Arabidopsis thaliana: one gene and its partner. The protein of the gene in region 2 binds, or shares a complex with, the protein of the main gene of each other region. Each region holds a gene or a part of one and is shown on either strand. Other genes may lie near its edges. The genes, in order: PRPL28 and AT5G65220.

The links.
Region 1: AT5G65220 (region 2) and PRPL28 share a complex: the UniProt entries of both Arabidopsis thaliana proteins name them as parts of the 50S ribosomal subunit.

What each region holds. Positions count from the first base shown.
Region 1 is NC_003071.7:14,171,794-14,175,205, reverse strand, and holds PRPL28 (Ribosomal L28 family), read right to left. Parts: upstream 1,628-3,412; 5' UTR 1,587-1,627; coding exon 1,388-1,586; intron 1,063-1,387; exon of another isoform or gene 1,059-1,062; coding exon 826-1,058; 3' UTR 617-825; downstream 1-616. Other genes in the region: RIC1 (ROP-interactive CRIB motif-containing protein 1), read left to right, coding at 1-77, 180-616; AT2G33435 (RNA-binding (RRM/RBD/RNP motifs) family protein), read right to left, coding at 1,980-2,574, 2,668-2,747, 2,841-2,930, 3,050-3,160, 3,382-3,412.
Region 2 is NC_003076.8:26,059,197-26,063,411, reverse strand, and holds AT5G65220 (Ribosomal L29 family protein), read right to left. Parts: upstream 2,248-4,215; 5' UTR 2,112-2,247; coding exon 1,773-2,111; intron 1,089-1,772; coding exon 906-1,088; 3' UTR 730-905; downstream 1-729. Other genes in the region: AT5G65225 (uncharacterized protein), read right to left, coding at 478-482; TGA1 (bZIP transcription factor family protein), read right to left, coding at 2,663-2,815, 2,890-3,117, 3,206-3,477, 3,560-3,623, 3,712-3,789, 3,874-3,933, 4,018-4,098, 4,211-4,215.

The DNA of each region.
Region 1 (3,412 bases), on a different chromosome or scaffold from region 2:
GAATGACTTTAAAACTCAAGAACATGAGAAAGGTCAAGTCGTTTCCAGGGGAAATTCCAACAAATACAACCCGCAAGGTTAGTTATTTTTGCAAAGTGTGTTTTTCCTTTTCCCTTAAAGTGTTAAGCTTTGAGGAACAAATCTGGATTGGTTCGAGGAATTGATGTGTATCTCAATAGGGACGAACCAACGTGGAGCCGGGCTAAAAGAGTTACTGCCTTCGAACACAAACGAGAAACCGAAACAGAAAACAAGGCGGAAACCCGGAGGAGCAGCTTCTCCAAATCATAACGGGTCTCCGCCTAGAAAAAGTAGCGGAAATGCTGCATCATCAGATGAACCATCAAAGCATTCAAGACATAACCGAAGCGCACACGGGTCAACAGACTCATCGAATGATCAAGAACCATCAGTTCGCAGAAGGCGTGGTGGTATCCCGGCTCCAGACACAGAAGTTCCTAATCAAATACCTGATGGTTCAGCTCCTCCACGGAAGGCTACATCGCGTCCTAGGAAACTAAAAGGATCATCAGCAGGAGGAGAAGGTTCGATTAAGAAGTCTTCAAAAGGAAAACCCGAGAATTCAGTTGATACAACCTGTAACGATATTATCTGAGAAACATAAACAAAACCATGAAATGTATTATTTGAGCCACCTGCAAGTGAGAGTTTGTTTTCGTTTCTCTTTAAAGTCTTTTCTTGACAGTGTCTGATACAACAACTCAGAGATTCCATTGATACTTACCAAAATCTAGAAAGGAAATGTACGAGTACTGCAAAAGGAGAAGCAAGAAATGTATATAATAAACTTTGCGATCATCATATCTATTTCTTGCGAAGATCAATGCCGGCTTTCTTGGCAACAGCGTCGAGTCCGTTCTTCTCAATGGTCTTCAAAGCCTTAGTTGATAAACGAAGTTTGACAAAACGTTTGCCAGCTTCCCACCAAACTCTCTTGTATTGTAAGTTGACGAATTGCAACTTCTTGGTCTTGTGGTTAGAGAATGAAACTTTGTTTGCTCTGTTTGCTTTCTTCCCAGTAAAAGGGCAGATTCTACCTGACATTTTGGAAAACAAAAACACAGTTTCAAGAAAAAAGGAGCAAATTGCCCAATGCTCAGAATCATATAAATGTGGTCAATTTTGGAGAATTTTTTTAACATAACATCAAATTCAAAGGAAAAGTTTAATACGAGAAATTATGCTACGGGTTTTAAATACACTGCTCATTTTCATATCTAAAAGCAAAGACATAGTTCCAGACAATTCAACACAAGCTTGCTAACTCAGAGATTCGAAATTCGACATGAATAAAACGAAAGCAAGATAAATTTAGTACGCCAATGCATTCGACTAAACCCTAAGAGAAAGGGAAAAGGGGAATTACGTGCGACGATTGGCTGAATCCCGGGGAACGAAGGAAGGGAGATACGGTTGATGACGTCACTGGGAGTATATGAGATTCTTAAGCCGCTGAGCTGGGAGGTGAGGAATCCAAGCTCCTTTGAAGTCACGGTTGACTTGGTCATGGACTTGGCTGATGAGGTCATTCGTAGCCAAGCGCCTTGTGTCGCCATTGTCGTCATTTTTGGTTGCTGTTACTTCTGCTTCGAAGGAGGATTTGGATAAAGAAGGAGATTGGGTTCATTTTATTTATTATTTTGTAGAAAATGAAAGACGCTTTCTCATTCAGAAGGTTACGTTCTCTTTTAACACAACAATTTTTCAGTAAGCAAACCGGTCCATATAGCCACCAACACAATAGTATGGTTTCATCTTTCCCTTCTTGGATTCTCTAATACATAAAAGTAACGAGACACAGGTGGTGATGAATAATCCAACCTGATCAATCCCAACGATTACAAAGAGATTTTTGAAGGGTTTTTGATTGTAGATGCTATGTATCTCTGAACTCGGTTTGAACCGGTTATGTGGTAAAGATGAGAAGAATCACAGAGTCTCACTTGTTGTGGGATTATTTACCCACTTGGGAACCGGATTTGGTAAAGCTCTTTAGAAACATATTCTGCTTTCACAATCCGGTTATCATATAGCCTTCCGTGTAAAGAATGGGCTGCATCACATGTCGCTTCTGGTCTTCTGTACTCAATGAAGATACAACCCGTCTCAAATACATCCTCGGGGTCTTCTTCTTGTTCTTCTTCTATCTTGTCGCCAGCATCCCATCTTGTCTTCACGGTACGCACTGATGCTACTTCTTGTGGATTCTCTGCCTCGGCCTGCGCACTTTCTTCAACAATCTTTTCACAATGCTCTTGTTCAGTGGAGTGTAGATCTTCATTTTCTTGAGTGCTTGTTTCAGCAGCAGTATCCGAGCACGGTTCACATAACTTGTCTTCACCTGTCAAACTGTCTGGCATGACAACCTCTGCAAGATCTACATTGTCTGCAATATCTTCCGCTTTCTCGGATCCTTCATCTTTCTCCTCGATCACTGACACATTCATTTCTTTAGAATCAGTTGATTCTAAGTTCAACAATGGATTTGTTTCAGAAACAGTGATATCTTTGCTCTTGTGTTCCAAGATGTTTATCGACTTAATAACCCCAAACCTGCATCATGACAAGACCCAGAGGCCTATTTTCTTAATTTACTAGCTTTTAAAAGCTCAATGGACTCATGGGAAGATGATCTCAGAGCTTAACCTGGCACATTCTAACCGTACATCCTCCAAAATTTCTTTCACTTCTTGCTCGGAAAACGACGTGAGATCTTCTGGGTCAACCTGTCAAACAAGAAAGAATGGAATGTTAATATAGCCTCACATAGTTTATTTGGGAAAGATTCACAAGAAAAAGGATACACCAATTATGCTTACCACATTTTTTAGCTTTAGAATATTCTTAGGCTTGCCAAGAAGTGGTTTTGCATGGCTAGGTATCCCATAGAATGGTGGATTCTCATTCACCTGCAACACATATTACGTACACACACCACTCTCACAAGTAACTAAAGGAATTTCTGTTCAATGTCACCCATACAAACACAACATGAACTAACGAAAGCAAAGTTGGGTCACTGAATTACCGCTACGGATGATGCATCAGGAAATGCACAAACGGCTGTTATTACACTGCCACCTAACCTCATACCATTTAGACCAGCACAAGCTTTGAGGGTAACAGATCCATCAGTGTACTGAAATATAGAGATTTAAAAAGAGTTAGGGCTGGTTAATATGAATATACTTGGAACTACAGTCACATTCATGGTTACTCTGTAAAAGTTACAAGGTAATAACACCTTCCCATGCTACCCGGAAAATGAAAAATTAAAGATATGAAACAATCACAAGAACTACATCGAGATGGCAGACTAAGATGGGGGTATCTTGGCCACAAATAAAAGTACATTCTAACCTCTAGGAAAGCGCATCGCTGATTGAGATCA
Region 2 (4,215 bases):
TGTCAAGAACTCATATATAGCAGCCTCGATAGCAAACTACTAGTAAACGAAACATGACTTCTTATTGAACTATGTTTATATCAGTCGTATTCAAACTTTTAAGAAAAGAAAAAACAAAGAGAAGAAACTACTAATTTGAGATTATTTTATCACTAGTCCCCACTTCTGAAAGAAGATTTCAACACCACTGAGTCAGAAAAATTATTGGCCAGATCTTCAATATACTAATAAGAAAAGGACAAAAATAGTAAAACAAAAACCAAACCCATTGTTGGTTGACTAACAAAAAAAACTAACAATGAAGTCTCAATGAGATTTACCAAGATGAGATTTTTCTACTACATTCGATTGCATAAACGGATTTTATTTTGAAAGTGAATCGCTGAAATCTAGGGTTTCATGCCCAAACAAGAAACATCATCGGAAACATAATCGTATTAGTTGAATCCTTAAAATCTGTAAGAAATATCACTTTACCTCATAGACTCGCCGGAAAAAAAATCCAAACCCAGCCGGAATCTACCACCGAATACCTCATCTACGCACACAAAGACAGAAACTTTAACGCACCATTCTATTTCTAAGCCCACCATTGATTCCTCAATAAATTCCTAATTTTCCCGCCAATGTTTTGGATTTTTCCTTTTATTTATTTATCTTTATTCTTATTTGATGTTTTTCGAACTTCGAATGATTACTAGTTTCTTTGTCAGATTGGATGATAATTCTGATGAAACATGAAGGAACGATTTCAATCTTTAAGGGATTCATGTAAACTACTTGATAAGGAAAGTGTTTACACCAAAAGAAAAACAAATACAAGATGGTTCAGCAACAAATAACAGAGATTAACAACATCTCGAGGAAACAACAAGGAAGAGACCATAAATCAATAGCGGGTTTTTTCAAGCAGATTTAGCAGCTTCAGCTGCTTCTTCTGCAGCTTCTTCTTCTTGAAGTTTCTTCAGAGACGGAGGTGGTCTTGGTACTATGCTTTTCTTCCATTGTCTGTCAAGTTTCCTCGACAACCTTTTCTTTATCCCTTCTTTGATCTCCCTCTCTCTTTTAACCGTCAACATCCGAGCAACCTAAATCACCCACAACCAAAAGATCACATCTTCAGTACCAGAAAAGAGACGGACGTAAGCCAAAAAAACCAAGAAATCTCTACTTGAATTTAGTGTCATCTCCAGCTAAGTTGGGTGGATTAGTCACTTAGAGCTCAAGATTCATGTCTGATTGAAATCCCAGCAATCAGTAAAACCAAAGCAAGTAAATTCTCATCTAAAGCTAGTTTGGTGCATTGGCACACTTAAAAGACTAAACAAACGATATCGCAAAGCTCAACATTCATGTCTAACTGAAACCGTAGTATCCTAAGAACATATTCGAAGCTTGTGTGCAAGAATCTATAAAAGGGGATGGATTGAACTCAATATTAAATCTCTAATTCCATTCCACCACCTACCAAAAACAGTATTAGATATCACAAAACAGTAACTTACAATGTTGCCATTGTTAGAGTTTAGAATCAACTATAATGTGTAGAACAAACAACACAAAACATTGCTTATAGAGTTCGCTAACATCTTCTACAACTTCATATTAAATAATCCTATTTTCCATGGTGATGATTTCAATGTTTCCATCAATAAACCACATATCCCAATTTTGTTAAACCCTTTCAAAGACTGCCAAAATCGACCAGATAACACAAAGTAGATTTCACAATTTGGAATAATTCTGCATTAAAGAGTAAGAAAAAAGCTTACTTGTTTCTTCATACGACGAAAGTCGCTAGATTTGAACTCATTCCTTGCCGATTTCTGGAGACGAAGCATAAAGAGCTCACCTTTAAGGTCAACAACCTCCTCTTGTAACTGCTCCGTCGTCTTCGATCTTATCTCTTTCAATTCCGCCTCTCTTTTCGACATCATCACCACCGACGGTTTAGGAGACGACGACGATATCGTCGCCGCCGCGGGGACGCGAGCAGAAACCTGGTGCTGGATTCTGACACCATGGAATGAAGACGAAGTTGAAGTCGCCGAAGCAGTTCCTCTACGAAAAATCGCCGCCGTCCCCGGCGTAGCGATTGAGAGACTAAGCATTGTAGCTATGGCGGAGGAAGAAGAAGAAGAGCAGAGTTCTCACTCTCGAGCGATTTTGAGGATAATGAAGAGAAGAAACTCTATGAGATAAGGCTTTTCTTATATCTTACTATTTGCCCCTTTATTTACCTCTAATTACGAAACTGGTCCAAACGTATCAAAAAAAATCAAATAGGTGTCACACAAAACGTAAAATTAAGTAAAGCCCCTATAGTTTTCAAATTGCAGATAGCTCGACATTATTACAGGGGATTTGGAACCAAGTTTATATAATTCTGAAATTGTTTACAAATCAAACAAACATTCGAAAAACTTGCCTCTTTCAAAAGCTAAAAAGTACAAATTTTTGCACCCCCACCTTTTTCTGATATTTACAACTTATCAATACATGATGTTTTTCAAATTTTCTAATTCCGCCGCAGAGTAAAAATAAATATCAGCAGCAACCCCTCTATTTATTCAGAGTAGTCCTCTGTTTTCAGATGCACTCATTCTTCATTTTTTGAGGTCTTTCCATTTTCTTCATTTGGTTGTTACAAAATAACTCAAACCTACGTTGGTTCACGATGTCGAGTTGCCCAACTTGAGCTCAAGGCTCTAAGCCGTTGAAAATACTCACCAAGAGCTAATAATCCTCGAGCCGCTTGTCGCGTTGTCAATATCCGATACATTTGTTGCAATGTTTCATGTCTCAAGTGATCAGCCTAAGAATGAACAAACAAAATCAAGAAACTGATACTATAGTATTTTCAAATGAGTTTGAATATATATATTTTACCTGATTTACGAAACTGACCAAAGCTTCTAATCTATCCATAGCAGAATTCACCTGAGGAATGTAACTTCCTTCACCGAGTTGTCCCGCTGCAACGCAGTCCGCAAGGGTGTGTTGCAGCTTCTCCATACCTTGAGTCAACGCGTCTTCTGCTTGCTGACACGATTGTTTTAGATTGCATACATCTAGAAGTTGTTGATCCGTCAAGACATCAAAATGTGGCAAAAGAACCTACAAAAAAAAACATTTGAAACATTGTAATCTTGCTTGTTTCCTTCTATTCATTAAACATTACGCTAGATTGTTATTTGTTTTATACCTTGAGAAGATCGGAGGGTCGAAATCCGCCAATCCATAAGAAGAATCGTTCTGCTGAAGTTCTCCACATCCCTGACATGACGAAGAAGACATCGGCTTTGGCAGCAGACGATTTCATCCGGAAAAGCTCAAAGTAATGTTTCATGGCGTTTTCGACTAGCGAACGAAGCTCGATATCGTTAATGTGTCCGTGTAAAACTGTTCTTAGTTCACATATCTGTCTGTTCTGTTCTTCAACCCAATGTCCATATTCCATTTCAAATGCAGCAATCCCTGCAAATCAAATAAGCTTCCACCAATCAAAATCTTGAATTCTATATTTTTTCCAAAAGACTCATTGTTCTTGATTCAAAACCTGGATTCATGGTTTCCGAAAAACCGAGAGAATTAGTATCTATTCCGTTTCCTACATAGAATCCCTGAAAACATTCATATTCAATCAGAAATTGCATTATATTTTGGAACTCGAAAGAAAGCGAATATATATTTAGATTTCATTTCATTAACCTGTTGTCTAGCACGATCGAGTTCTTGCTCTAATTGAATTAGCTTCAACCTGCTTGTTTCCAGTTGCTGAACATAAGCCTGCAAAAAAAAAAAACAATCAAATCTCTCAACTCATTAGGCAAACAGAAACAGTTTACCAAGGGGAAGAAAATGAAGTCATACCTTCTTGCGCAAGCGACTTTTCCTAGCAGCCTCGCGGTTTTGAGCAAGCCGTCTTTGTATCTGTAACGATATAACGATTTAGTCTATATGATGCGTAGAAATTTATGATTAAGAAACTGATAGAGAAGTATTTGAATAGCTAACCTTATCGGGATGTCTAGACGTTGAAGCTTCTTGATCGAACATGTGAGGAGTTCCTGCTGTTCCATGGGAAGTATCCTCTGACTATAAAAAAAAAAAAAAGATTGTCAAGAAATGAAAGCTAGTTTAAATTTCTGAAAACAGACCAAACAAATTTATCATCAGGAGGTTGAAGAGCAATGAAGTAAAAAAGTACCACGT